Schizosaccharomyces pombe: one gene and its partners. The gene in region 1 interacts genetically with each later gene. Each region holds a gene or a part of one and is shown in the gene's direction. Other genes may lie near its edges.

What was found.
Region 2: mutations in gnr1 (region 1) and SPOM_SPAC18G6.13 together harm fitness more than expected from each alone (negative genetic interaction), as found in Schizosaccharomyces pombe (one large-scale study listed by BioGRID).
Region 3: mutations in gnr1 (region 1) and SPOM_SPAC17G6.03 together harm fitness more than expected from each alone (negative genetic interaction), as found in Schizosaccharomyces pombe (one large-scale study listed by BioGRID).
Region 4: mutations in gnr1 (region 1) and trp663 together harm fitness more than expected from each alone (negative genetic interaction), as found in Schizosaccharomyces pombe (one large-scale study listed by BioGRID).

The regions. Positions count from the first base shown.
Region 1 is NC_003421.2:765,366-769,316, reverse strand, and holds gnr1 (heterotrimeric G protein beta subunit Gnr1 ), read left to right. Parts: upstream 1-1,773; 5' UTR 1,774-1,947; coding exon 1,948-3,147; 3' UTR 3,148-3,381; downstream 3,382-3,951. Other genes in the region: wybutosine biosynthesis protein Tyw1, read left to right, coding at 1-1,331. UniProt on the Schizosaccharomyces pombe protein: Negatively regulates the pheromone-response pathway. Acts as a structural mimic of the G protein beta subunit thereby interacting with gpa1 which then inhibits gpa1 signaling.
Region 2 is NC_003424.3:2,239,370-2,241,895, forward strand, and holds SPOM_SPAC18G6.13 (uncharacterized protein), read left to right. Parts: upstream 1-1,625; 5' UTR 1,626-1,643; coding exon 1,644-1,988; downstream 1,989-2,526. Other genes in the region: SPOM_SPAC18G6.12C (uncharacterized protein), read right to left, coding at 132-1,061.
Region 3 is NC_003424.3:3,591,459-3,595,616, forward strand, and holds SPOM_SPAC17G6.03 (phosphoprotein phosphatase), read left to right. Parts: upstream 1-1,579; 5' UTR 1,580-1,596; coding exon 1,597-3,504; 3' UTR 3,505-3,609; downstream 3,610-4,158. Other genes in the region: protein farnesyltransferase beta subunit Cpp1, read right to left, coding at 3,739-4,158.
Region 4 is NC_003421.2:1,657,079-1,661,597, reverse strand, and holds trp663 (TRP-like ion channel protein), read left to right. Parts: upstream 1-1,814; coding exon 1,815-2,963; exon of another isoform or gene 2,964-3,052; coding exon 3,053-3,967; downstream 3,968-4,519. Other genes in the region: SPOM_SPCC663.15C (uncharacterized protein), read left to right, coding at 1-1,316; NatA N-acetyltransferase subunit Naa50, read left to right, coding at 4,082-4,516.

The DNA.
Region 1 (3,951 bases):
TAGCAGAATGCTTGAAAAACGGTACGCTTTTGAAAATCGGAAACACGGATTCACTTAGTTCGGATGTTATGGATGTTGAGGATATGGGTTCCATGATGGCCAAGGCAAAGGCAGAAGCAGCCTTGCCAGTGGGTACTAAAGAGATGGTTTCGACAGAGTCTCCTACGTATAAAGCCCTTACAAAGCAGGGATACAGCGTAGTTGGCTCACATAGTGGTGTAAAGATTTGCAGATGGACAAAGTCTGCTATGCGTGGCCGAGGCTTTTGCTATAAGTATAGTTTCTATGGAATTCGAAGTCATCTATGTATGGAAGCTACCCCAAGTTTAGCCTGTGCTAATAAATGTACTTTTTGTTGGAGACATGGTACGAATCCCGTAGGAACCTCTTGGCGCTGGAAGGTTGATCCTCCAGAAATGATACTTCAGGGTATATTGAAGGCTCATTATGCCAAGTTAAAATTAATGAAAGGTGTACCTGGTGTTCTACCCGACAGATATGAAGAAGCGTCTCGTGTTCGTCACTGTGCTTTGTCCTTGGTTGGAGAGCCTATATTTTATCCATACATAAACGAATTTGTGTCCATGCTTCATGAAAGAGAGATTTCATCGTTCTTAGTAACAAATGCCCAGCATCCTGAAGCATTAAGAAATATGGGTATGGTCACTCAACTCTACGTTTCTGTTGATGCCAGTACTAAGCAGAGTCTCAAATCAGTAGACCGACCATTATTCAAGGATTTTTGGGAGCGAATGCTAACGTGTTTGGAGATTTTACGTGAAAAGCGGCAGCGTACTGTTTACCGAATGACCTTGGTGAAGGGATTCAACATGGAGCAAATTAAAGAGTATACTGAACTGATTCGTCTTGGTGTGCCTTGTTTCATCGAAGTTAAGGGGGTTACTTATAGTGGTAATTCGGATCAATCACCGTTGACTATGAAGAATGTGCCTTATTATGAAGAGGTAATTGACTTTGTTAAAAAATTGATTGAGTATATTGATATTCATTTACAAGACCTTGGCGTCCGCTATGAAATTGCTGCAGAACATGCACACAGCTGCAGTATTTTAGTTGCTCAAACTGCGTTCAAAAAAGATGGCCATTGGCATACTCACATTGATTATCCAAAGTTTTTCGAATTAATACGGACAAAGAAAGACTTTGGTCCATTCGATTATATGGCATCCACGCCCGATTTTGCCATGTTTGGGAACGGTGGATTCAGTCCAGAGGATACAAGATTTCACAGGAAGAAAAAGACACAAACATCTAAACCAATTTCTGCAACCATTTCAGAAACTGCTACAATTTCGGAAGCCGCTGCGTAAGCCAACTTTTGTAGTAAATAGCTGAAGAAAAAAAAGAGTGACACACTCTAAAGTTTATGAACTGTTGAGCAGTTTTTGTACGCGTCTGCACTCATTGATAAAAAAAAATTAAGATTTTGGCATAGGTTATTTTCGTTAATTCATTAATATATTTTTTGATTTATCAATACAAAAAAACGATGAAGGCTTATTTGCTTAATTTCGTTCATATATTTATAGTTTCAATGGGCGTAAAGTAATAAAAATGTTGACGATATTGTACTCAATTGTTTTTTTAGTTAGACAAGTATATCGCAACCTGTCTCTATTTTTATTTATATAGTAACCTGAGTCGTAACTTTTAATTTTCTTTTTTTTTTATGATTGAGAAACAAAGAATACATTCTTTCTGTTTTAGGACTCGTGGAAATGTCTTGGAGTAATTCGAGCATACTGAGATTACAACTACTACATATGATTACAATTCGTTTTTTAAAGAAGGACTATTCGTTTTCAACCCTTATGACCAGATAGAAAGAAATCCATATATATATTATATATTTAAAAAATTAAAGTTGACATTGTGAAGAGCCATAATCCATACATGGTTAATAAAGTAGGTTAACTTGAGGAAGGAATGGATAATTGTGTAAACTCCTTTGAGGATCAGAAGGATGACTTGGTGCATAAGAAGAAAAGTCAAAATTTCGGCTATGTATGCGGAAGTATTAATTTAGGAACAAATGTGATTGCTCAAAGTCCAACAAAGCCATTGAATTTTTTTCATTCGTCAAGATGGTCGCCGGATGGATCGACTATACTTTCGTTAACAGAGGATCAATGTCTTAACTGTTGGAATGTGCCGTTTTCCGATTTATCCAAAAAGGCTGATGGACCATTGAACTTTTCAAAACATCTGTCGTATAAATATCAATCACCGGAAACAGTTTACAGTTACAGTTGGTATTCGAGAATGAAACTTGACGATCCTTCCAGTAACCTTTTTGCAGTGTCTAGTAGGGATCAACCTATCAAGTTGATCAATTTTACTACAGGAAAGAACAAGGCTTCATATCACATGATAGATCACCAAGAGAGATATCAAGGATCGCATTGTTTACAGTTTACCAACGATGGGGAGTATTTGATTGCGGGTGATAAAAACTGTCTCCATCATTTTAATATAAGAACGGGATGTAAAGAACCTGTCATGACAACGGTAACCCATGGATATAAAGTCCCTCTTTGGGAATTTAGTCTTAAGGGTATACAGTCATGCTTTTCCTTGAATCCGATGGATTCGAAAACATTGGCAGTGGGAACGTATTCAAATCGAGTTGGGATTTATAATGATTGCGGACGTCGCCCTTGTCAGCTAGAGTTTTCGATTGAAAGAGGAAACGGAGTGACACATCTACAATGGTGTGAGGATGGAGAAAAGTTATATGTTGGAAGCAGATGCAGTGATAAGATTGAAGTTTGGGATATACGGTATGTGCGCGACATGGTATATGCTCTTGAAGGGCATCGTGGCGATACGAACCAAAGGATTCTTTTCGACACTGATAAAAAGGATGAAATTTTGGCAGGTGGGACGGATGGAAGTATTCGTAGATGGAGAAACAAGGATCTTGTGGAAGAAACGCATGTGACGGGAAATTACGATTTGACGGTAAACACAGTACAAGCGAACCCTATAAACATGCAGATAAAGTGTGTATGTTATGGAAATAGAATTTACAAGTATGAGAAGGATGAAAGTGAAGAAGAGGATGAAAGTAAAGAGAAGGATCTTTGGACAGGAACGGTTTCGGCTTTACAGGTTTGGATGGATTGAAAAAGCAAAATTTGGAATGAATGAATACTTGAAAAAATAAAAAATGGTGAGCTTGAAGGAAGAACTTTATGAGGATGATTTGATTATTAATAGAAAAACATTAGAAAACCGGTTCTAAATTGGTGTATTGGTGAATGGGTGTTTTTTTCGCAATCAGGAGGAGTCCTCAGACATGTTGAGGGGTTTCATTATTTAGATTATGATAAATTAAAAAATAAAAGAGATGAATTTTATGCAAATAGTTGATTATAAGAGCGCAACAATCTTTGTATTAATAAAACTACACATTCGCTTATTAAATAACCTTAAACTCGGTTATACATGGATTTCCAAGTGTCGCAAGTAGAGGAGAAATGGAGAAAATGGAAAGCAAAGAATGGATGAAAATTGTAAATCAGCAGTTTCGAACTTTTCAAAAATTTGTTAAAAATATTAATTTTTCAATTTAATTGAATTTTGTTTTACAAGGTGGATACTATGGAGGAAAAAACAAGATATGTATGGAAAAGGTAGCGATCGCAAAGGAAAAAAAATATTAGAAAAGGAAATGGAATGAAATTAATTGAACGAAATGAAAAGGACATGAAAATAAACAGAAGTATAGAACAAGAAAAAAAAAATTTTTTTTTAAAATAACATAAGGATGGAAGTGATCCGGAGTGAATAAATAGAGGGAAATGAAAAAAATAAATAAATAAAAAATAAATAATAAAATAAAAAATATTTATATACACATACATATAGATTGGAAAAAGATGAAAGAAAAAAAATGAACCAACCAATCTATCAATAAGTAAATCAATT
Region 2 (2,526 bases), on another chromosome or scaffold:
TATGCTAAGTTAAAAACTATGTAGATACCAAATTAAGTGTAATATTAAACAAAGAAAAGTAGGGATCTTCCAAATAAAACCGGATCGAAAATCAATTAAACAGAATAAATAAAGCGTGATAATTGTTTTCTTCAAATACCAGAGTTCCTTCGATTACTAGTAGAACGTCTGCGGCGCTCTCTCAAAGATGCATTTAAATCTTTGTATGCCTGTTTGTACATTAAATACATTTTTTTCGATAATTCGCCAATATCCTTGTTACTTCTTCCTGAAATATAATAGTAGTTTTCATCCTGGTATGTAAAAGCGACACGACGATATGGACCAGAAACGTATTTATCCTTAGGGATTATAGTGGCAGCATAGGGATAAGTAGAGTTATCCGGTGTTGGGTTTAAAAAGGAATTTGAGCGCTCCATCCATGCAGGAATAGTGGTAGTCTTCATGTTGATGTTAGGCTCTGCCAAATAAATTGCAGCCGCACCCTGGCTAATGGCACCTAACACTTTGATCTTTCTGTTATCCTTAACCTCTTCATCCGGTTGAATTGTACGACATGAATGGATGTAAGGAACCAGGCTGGCATGTAAAAGTGGGTCTTCTAGCATCTCACGCACGAATGGATTTCTCCCTCCAGTTATGAAAACAGCACTAAAATTATCAAACGTAAAACCATTTGATCGATAGCATTTTGGATTGTTGAACTCATTCAGAGTACAGAGAACGCTATATATGTCTAAGATTTCCTTAGAAGCACCGAGTACATGACTCTTCCAGCCGGTCATATAAGAATCATTAGGTTTCGGGGGTCTTGGAGGAAATATGGATTCGGCGATTACGAATTCAACTACAAACCCGCGATCTGTAAAATACCTCCAAGGTAGACATACTTGCTCCAACATGAACCCCTTATCAGCTAAAACGATAGCTAAATGAGGCGACAATTTGGCATCCTTACCAAATACCGGAGCATTCACTGAAATGAGGTCGTGCTTGGGATGAATTGCAGCATTATAGTTGTCAAATGAGTTCATTTTTGAAACCTGAAAGGAAAATGCCATCGTGCTTAAAAACCAGTTAATCCTCCTTTTTTAAAAAACAATTTAAAATTAATAGCACTGTAGATTGTATATTAGTTATATGTCTTACACAAGAAACCTGGAAAAGTGGGTAAAGGGATGATTGACCCCCTTAATATATTACCTTATGTTTAGGTCAACCAAAATGACACGATTCTACAGGGTTTCGATTTTTTACAAAAATTTAGCGGTATTCAGAACGCCTTTCGCTTCTTCCAAAGCTTCGTTCAATGGGTAGTGGTTTGACTTGCTGATCATATATAATTTATGTATTTGATTATTTACAAATCACCTAATTGGTAGAAATACTTTTTTAACAATTTGTACAAAAGCATAGATCTTTTTGTTGCTTATAACTGTAGAATACAATGTAATAGGTTTTCATCAATTATGCTGGCCTGATCAAATATATGAAATTAATCGAATCTGTAAAAGGACTTAGTTTTACAAACTAACTTAGCATTCAGGACATTTCATCAATTCACCAACATTAATTTACATGGGCAAGGAAACTGTTGCTTTTTCTGTACTTTTAATTCCTACTTTAACCCTCTATGAACTAGTATGCGGCTCAAAGTCTCCTGCACCGAATTTCCAATTCAACAATGGGTTGAGACTTCTAGTCTTGAATTAGTTGACTCTGTTAATTGTGTGGCAGATTTATGCCATGCCATATGGATGTTTAATGGAGGATGTGCGGATTGGAGGCTTCAAATACTTAAAGAAGGATTTACAGTTCCGATGACGGGAATTATCTCACAATATCTTAAAACTGACGACCACATTAAAATTGTGAAGGAAATTTATCCTCCGAATTTACCTGTTCTTCCGTTCAGAGTGTATACAACGCAGAATACCTCCGTTGAATCTGAGCTAGTTGAATGGGAAGATGTAGAAATGGAGGCTTAGTGCTTTGCTTGCTATTCTCTGATTTATTTGATTAAAAAATTATATTATAAAGCTATCTGCAATGGTAAATCACATGAACAACGAATTGAAGTTTGCAATTTAACGATCGCTTATCTGTCCCTTGAACCTACGACAATTTCTAAGAAGTTTAGGATGACATTGCACTGTTTTCATCATTATAAACTTAATGGACCAGCAGTATTATGCTTAACGTTTGCACTGCCGCTGCTTTGACACTAAACTTTTATGCTAAGATATATAACACCTATGAAAAGTTCAGTCTATGAAAGAATATAGAATATATATTATAAATTCTGTATACAACAACAAAGCTTGAAAATTTTACTTTTTACTTACACAAGCGACAATAAACTTCCACGAGAGGAGGTTAAACTTGGAAATTAGATGTATTCTTTTCTACGAAATTTATCCATACGCGCTAAGCAATCACTACTCCAAAGCAAGTATACAATGAAGTACTTATCGATGATACAATTGTAGTCAGACAACTTAAATTATTGAAAGCTATGAAATCCGA
Region 3 (4,158 bases), on another chromosome or scaffold:
TTCAAAATATCGTTTGATGGGATAAATTAATTAATTAAGTAGAATGAATGGAAATAGAATGTTTAGCGGAAGTTTCTTTAATCGCCATAAAATTTACACAAATCATTCATTTGTTCCATACCAAATGTCACTATAAGTTGACCGATACAAACCATGACTAGATGAATTGGCGGAAAAGCAGGTTTCAAATAGAAGAAAGAAAAAATGTGAAATTAAATTTTCCTCTTTTGTATAACCCTCTTTATTAATGACCTGATATTTCGTTTGAAGTGGAATATGAGTTTCTTCTCCTTCTTAAATTTTCGTCATGTATTGTACGAAACATATCGTTTGGACATTTTAAATCAGTTAACCATACTGAATGAAAGAATAACCGAAGTTGTATTTAATCATTACAACATATCCATTCTTTTATTACCTTTTATTTTTATTTTGAGCTCTATTAATCCTTGCTATATTATGTACATAATCGTTAGTATGTTACAGAAAGGATGGGTGTCCGAGTGGTTATGGAGCTGGCTTTAGGTGCGTTCAACGCATTGCACGCCAGTGCGAAAGCTCGCGGGTTCGAGTCCCGTCCCATTCAATATTTATTTTTTATATTATTATTTTAAATCGGTATATGAGTTTATTTCTTCAAGCTTGATGGAGGAAAAAAAACCCTGTTAATGGCTGCTGTTTATCTTTAAAAAGTTCTTTAAACAAAGTAAGCTTAGAGTGTTATTGATACTGGCAAACGCAGTCTTCATGAAAGAAATAGAATGCTCCTTCTTTTAACGGAAACGCAAATTGATACATACTCCTTTGCAATATTTACCCTGGTTTTTACTCTTTTTTTTATGTTTTAAATTCTACAAAAAATCTGGCTTTTCCTCGTATTGCAATTCATACATATTTATGGTATTACGAATACATCGTTGCGGGATCCCAATTCTTTTAAGAGACAATGCTAATGCCAGATTCAATGGTTTTATTTATTTTCATGAATGGAAAAAATGATTTTTTCCTTTTCAAATTTTTTTGCATTACTATAAAACCAATTTTTCTTGCTTAATCATTTTCTTGAGCAACAATGACAATATTTTGTTTTTGCACTCTTCTCTGGTGAATAAAGACAATATACGTTTTTCGGAAGGAATACTTCTGGTTAAAAGCGTTTTTCTCTGTGATAAGGTTATAAATATTACTTACAATATTGCATAATATTATCTATTATCGTTCGTCAAACCAATTCCCCACACATTGTCAATTTACAATTCTTCTTTTCTTTTACTAAATACTTATGCCCAACCGGAAGTTAAAGGCATAACATAAGTGTAGTGTTTCACTAAAGCTTTTTAATCATTTGACGATCTCAAAATCTTGCATTTGCGTGCTCGTTTTGCAGACGTCGCAATTTTCATTTAGAAATTTTTGATTAAAAAAAATAGGCGACTACGAATTCTTTTTTAAAACTCCCATGACTTTTGATGGAAGCAATGATTGTCATATTACGAAGGTTTGGCTGGCTACTATTTGCTGCTTGTGACTTGGTACTTGATCTTCTTATCTTGGCGATTCTGCACTTACCCTATATACTGGGAACCAATATTTATTATGAAACCTGCCCATACATTTTCATTAATTTTCTCTCTTTTATTTGTTATCAATCCTTGCTATTCAGCAACTTTGCCCTTGGCAATTCGTCGGGAATTGACATGGGGTCAAGTCAATATTTTACACACTACTGACATCCATGGCTGGTTAGCAGGACATGCGCGAGATAAACGTTATTCAGGAGATTTAGGAGATTTCGCTTCTTTTGTTCAACATATGAAGCACTTGGCAAAACAAAAAGACGTTGATTTACTGCTAGTAGATACCGGCGATCTTCATGATGGTACGGGCCTGTCAGATCTGACAGATCCCCCTGGTAGTTGGACAGATTCATTACTTGCAAATATGGATTATGATATTCTTGTTGCTGGAAATCATGAGCTTTATCTCTCAACTGTTGCAAATGATACTTATCATAATTTCATTCCTCTGTGGGAAGGCCGATATTTAGCTGCAAACATTGACATATATGATGAACATGTTTCTTCTTTTGTACCCTTTGGAGATCGATATGCCATCTTTTCTACACCCCACAATGTTAAAATCCTTGCGTTTGGATTTGTAAACTCATTTTCTGGTGCTACTGATACGGTTCGTGTCCTCCCAGTTTCGCAATTCTCGCTACAGCCATGGTGGAACGATATGGTATCAAATAAAGACATCGATCTGATTCTGATTCCCGCTCATGTACCCGTTCACAATGCCTCAGAGCTTGATATCGTTCTTTCAGAGCTTCGGATTCACTTCCCTACCACTCCAATACAAGTACTTGGTGGTCATTCCCATATTAGAGATTATGCCATTTACGATGAAAAAGCAGTGGGAATTGAGTCAGGAAGATATTGCGAAACAGTTGGTTGGGTCTCAATTAACGGCATTCCATCCTTCAAATCGTTGGTCAAGTTATCTGGGATTTCTTCTTTAATGGGGGTGGAATCTTATCTAGCTGAGCGCTTGAGATTTATAGGCGAAAGTATTAGACGGTCATCTCAGCAGATATTTTCCTCTTTGCAAAGTGCTAAATCTGCCAGTGTCAGCTTCTCTCGTTCCTATATTGATTGGAATCCCGAGGGCTTTATGTTTCATTCGAAAACAAAAAAGTCTTCTTTCAATACCTCACTTGGAGAATTTATTTCTAATGGCATTTACGAAGCTCGGAAGGCACTTGGCTTACTTACTCCTATAGGTTGTTCCCCAAAAAAGTTTGCATTTTCAGAAGTTCCATTTAACGATTCAAACTCAATTTATCATCTATTTCAATCCGAACTTTTTCCAAAAATAGTCGTCAATGAGTCTCGACATCACATTCCTCACTATATTATTGTAAATTCGGGTGGCATTCGAGGTGGTCTAAATTCAGGTGCCTTTGGCTTAGACGAGGTCTTTCAAGTCTGTCCTTTTAAAAGTAATATATTCTATGTTTTGAAAGATGTCCCATGGTCGATTACTAAGTACCTGCCACAAGCTCTACAACACAGTGGATATCTGATTGCTGAAGATACTCTTCAAATTAACACTCCACAAGTTTCTGATGCAAAATTTGAGGACTTTTATGAACACTCCATTCGCAAGACATATGGATACACTACACACGATGATTTAGGAGATGACGGAGATGACACTGCTCATCTTACAACTCCTCATTATGAACCGCTGCGGTTTATTTGCTCGCAAGTTGGATTTGATGATTCTTTTTCTGGAGACGATAAGCAAGTTGTTGACGTTGTTGCTCCATCATTTGTTATTCCACGCTTAGACGACATTTTAAATAAAATTGCAGATAAGCCTTTATATTCACCTGACGATTGGGAGCTTTACTTTACGAGACCTGACGGAAAGCATTCTATGACTGATTTGTTACCATTATATGCAGATCTCTATTGGGACCACGATTGCCTATATAAGTAAAAGGCTATGGTTTATTTCCTTTAGTAAGGATTATTCTAATGACATTAATGATTTTAAAGATAACAAATAAGTCAAGAATTATTATTTATTCAACATGTGTAAAAATGACGAAGTAAATACCTGATAGAGAAGTAAAATAGGCATGATATTAAACTCGGGACATAAACCGTTAAAATAATAAAAAAAATCCTCTCATGAAAAATTAAAGTCCATAGACAACTCATAAATAAACCATTAGAATTTTGATGATTCTTGTGACAGAAAATATGATTTAATTCTTTCTTCAAAACCAAAAGGAACACAGTAAATTGGATGAGCCGGTAATAAAGAGCTTAAAGAGGAGTGTAAGATGGAAGGTTTATAGGACCAACCATCAGAAGTGTGATATCTGTAGTCATAAGCAATTGATGATAACCCTAATAGACAATAACAAGTATGATATTGATCAGGCCGTTTTGGTGGTTTGTCACGTAAACCGCCGCTTGTACTCTGGCAACATTGAAGAATATATCCTAATAATTTTTCTGGATTATAAAAAAGGTTAGGCAGGCTTTTATGAGAAGCCGAACCATAGCCTGAAGCCACAATCACATGGCTAGCACCGACCCACCAACTATAACAACCATCCACTAGCTTGTTAGAGCGACCGGAAAA
Region 4 (4,519 bases), 890 kb from region 1:
CTGAGTCTCCTCACCTTGTTAGTAATAGAAAGGGCCCTGAAGGTGTAGTTGAGCGTCTTTACAATCGTATCCCTTGGTTTTTAACGCGCCAAGTACTTCGGGTTGGAAATGCTGGTCTCTTGATGTCTGGTCTTACTCGACTTTTTTTGATGAAACCGCTTTCCTGGTTTGGCGAAAGTCGCAATCTGCTACAAACAATGTTGGCCGGTATTTTTAATGCCGATCTCGAGCACAGTGAGAGCACTATGGTTGAGACAGATGCAGAATTTGAAGACGATGCAAAATGGGAGACGATGCGTAAAGCCTTGCAATGGTTCACTCAACTTTCGCGTACTGAACAAGATGATGTTCGTTCTCAAAGCATCAATAAGGAACTGAACATTACTATCGCAATTTTAGAGGCGTACGAAGCACAGCAAACTGAAACTACCGAGACTGAAGGAGTTGATAAGGAAGACTCCGATAAGGCCTCGTCTGTCCAAGGCAATGAAGATGAAGTACCCGACACTGCATCTGAAACCGAGCATTCCGAGATTGAAGACTTTCATTTCGATCCTTATTCCGAGAAAGGTGTCCATATTGCCATGAGATATTTTGATGCCGCTTTAACACATCGTGATCGCGAATGTTTAATCCACGATCTATGTGACAACGATCAACTGAATGATGTTGTAAGAGAATTTATGAATGCGTTTTATAATATCATTTACGAAGCACATCAAGCTGCCGATTTTTCACAAGCTATTTATGACTTTCAGTATTTCTTATGGGATGTTATTCAGCTTTCAAAGGCCGGTGCTCCCTTAGTAAAGTTCATCAATCTTGTTGAACGTTATCAAAGCTGCTTTGTCCGTTTCATTCACCGACTTGTTGTGAATGCGCCCGATCTTTGTGGAGAGTGGTGCGACTGGTATCGCCATTGTTTAAAACAATTTAGTGTTGAGGTGAAGACTCCTGATGCGGTAGATGTTGCCCATAAAGCTTTAAATACCTTGGATGAAGAGACAAAACATCAAGTTTTGGAAGAAATTGGTGATTATGTGAAGGAACTTGATGAAGAAAGCAAGAAGGCTATTGAGAATAAAGATAGTACTAGTGAATGGCTTTTACATCTTTATAACTTCTTTGGGTCCGCAATTATTACACCCACTACAGCTCATGGAGTACCGCAGCCACAACTTCCAAATTGTGGAATGAAATTAAATAGAACTAAAGAGAAGCTGCTGACTCCTTTTCGAAATCTTTTAATGGAGCAACTCAACGAATTACAAGCGAAAAATCAAGAAACGCCTTCAGAAATGACTTCAACAGAATAATTTTATTACTAATTGAGGTCCAAAACATAATGACATAAAATCAAGTGAGGCTCGCACATTCCATCATTTCTTCTCACAACTACAAATGAAATGAAAATGCATTTCTTTTTTTTATTCTTTACTAATGATACATTCTTTACCATTATATTGCTTTTTTCATAGTGTAAAATTGTGAGCGTAAGAACAATGCTAAGATGGTGGTAACTAAATAAACGAAGCCACGTTCTGTATTCTTTTTCGTAAAAATCTTAAAGCTTCAATCGTTTCATTACTATTTATTTAATCCTTGTATTTAACTCAATGCTATGGTTGTTAAAAAATACGACTGCTATTTCGTAAACATTACAGTCAAATTACGGCATTTGAGTTCAGTAGCATGTTTTTGTTATTCGTGATAGTTTGGTAATTCTGAGGAAAGTTCATTTTAATTTTTTTTGCATTCGTTCCAAAGTTAAACCCTCTACATAACTGGAAGGGGGATGTTAATGGAAAATGAAAATGAAGCTAATACTCTTAGCTTACTTTGCAGTTTTAAGTAATATCTTATCGTCAGTGGAAGGTCGAGTAAGATATAGTAAGAGACCAAATCACAAACTTGGAACAGCCGAGTACGCAGAATGCATGTCAAATGCCCCGATAGTGTTTAATCGGTTTGATGCAAGTTATTATACACGAAACTTGTCAGTAGTCTTTAATATTCTTGGATATTCATCTGTGGACGCAAATGTTACGTTTGATATTATAGTTGAAGCTTATGGAGAGCAGAGGGCAAGATTTACTTTCGACCCTTGTGAAATAAATCTTAATACTGTGTGCCCAGTTGCAAGAGATACAGCTATAACCACACAGGGAATACTTCCAGTGAGCCCTCAAGATGTTCAGATGATCCCAAAAATTGCCTGGGGAATTCCTGATTTTGAAGGCTTAGTGCGTTTTCGCATGTATCGCTCAGAAGACATCGCAGCGTCATCCATCGATAATTCTACACCACTTGCGTGCATGATCGCGACACTTAATAATGGTCATACGTTTAAAAATAAAGTCGTAAAAGCTCTAAGTGGAACTGCTTTGGCATTGAGTATAGCAGGCGTCTTAGGCTTTTATGTAATTGGAATGGAGCATAGCACCTATCTGACACGTCAGGTTTTCATCAATTCCGTTCCTTCTTTGCAGCACATGGGAGAGCTACTTCAATGTATAGCTTTCACGGGAGCAATTGGAATTACACAGCCAAAAGTGCTAGTCGCATGGGCTAGTAATTTTGCATGGATTCTAGGATTTATTACCAATAAAGAGATAGAAAACAGCCTTGAGTCTTTTAGAAAGCATTCCAATGGAAACCTAAGTTCTCCAAAGATAGGTGGAGTCCATCGAAGAGATGCTGTTGCAACAAACCCTCAAAGCCCGATTCCTGGATTTTACCATGGGTTTCAAGGCCTAGCCACCGAAGTTGGAACGCTAACAACGAATTTATTTACACTCACTTTAATATGGTTTTTGATTTCTTTGGCCATAGCAGGAGGAATCGTTATAATATTCGTACTTATTATTAAGTTTCTTCGTCAGACACGTATAATCGCAAAATCTTCATGCGATTATATCACAAGGTATTGGTTTAGAGTACTTTTTAATGCTTGTATGAGATGGGTAAGTTAATTGAACAAAGGAATGAGTTGTTCATACATAGCTCTTAACGACTTTTTTGCTTTATACTTATACTAATCTGGTTGATATAGGTGTTGGTTTGTTGGCCTGTATTGGTAACTATGATAATTTACCAGTTTACACTTAGGGAAGCATATGGCCCTGTAATATTGGCGGCTTTGCTTCTGGCACTGCTTTTTGGGCTTTTCCTTTGGTTAACTATCAAAGTCATAAGAGTGATAACAACGTCAGGCTTGAGTAACGAGGACAATCCAGAAACATTGATAAGCGATCCAAAAATATACACATGGTGGGGATGGTTATATTTGGATTTAAAAGAACGGCGATGGCTCTATGTTTACGCCTGCTTTGCACATTATTTTAGTTTTGCATTGGTTTTAGCGTTAGTACAACAGTTTGCGAAGATTCAAACTATACTTCTATTTGTTATTGAAATCATCTCTTTTATATTGCTAGCAGTGTTTCGGCCTTTTGTTGGTTTCAAAAATTCCTTTTGCGTCTTTTTGGTTGCTCTCACCCGAGTGGTTTCCTTTGCTCTTCTCATACCGATAGCATTTGATTTAGCAATCATTCCGAAAGTGATCATTGCAATCATTCTTATCATTATACAAGGGCTGGTATTTTCATTTATGGCCCTGTGGAGCCTTTGGAACTTCATTACTATGCTAGGTACAGCATGGCCAGCCATTAGCTACACAGTCCCTTGGCTTAGAAGATTAATAGATGAATATCAAAGACAACTTCATATTGACTTTGAGAATCCTGCGGTTTCTGCAAGTGAAAAGCTATCCACCGAAGAGATTATCCCACAAGAATCAAATTTTGAAGAGCCCTCTACCACAAAGAAAGAAGGAAACGTAGACACAAAGGAAGATGGAAATGACGATGTCTTCAGCCTTGTTAACGCTTCTCCTATGCGACCAGCATCTACAATACCTTCACATTCATGTGACAACGGGATTAATGAAATGCAGCGTACTGTTTAAAGATTTTATCGTGGATGTTTCCAACTCAAACTATTGCATTAGAATGCCTTAAAGACTGAAAGTTGACAACACCAAGTACATATAGAAAAAGATATTTGCATTTGCATAAAAAAGATGATTGAACTTGATGCGATTAACCCTAATAATCTGAAAATCCTTGAAGTTATTAACGAAAAGTGTTTTGATCCTGAAATCATTATATTTCCAACCTCCTTTTACAAAGACACAATCTCAGTCGGGCCTTTAGCACAATATGCGTACTTTAACCAGGTCTGCGTAGGAGCTGTTAGATGCAAAAAAGAAACACATAATAAATCGCACAAAATCCAAATTTTATCTTTGGCAGTTTTGCCAGCCTATCGAAACCGTTCTATTGGTACCAAGCTGTTGGAATATGCTTGCGAGACTGCAGCTGAGGGAAAAGCCAAAGAAATTTACATTAAATTAAGCCCTAAACTCGATGTATCCGAATGGTTTATTCATCGGGGATTCATTATTGATGAGAGCTCCAAAACAGAAGATAGCGTCCTTCTTTCGAAAAAGCTATAGATT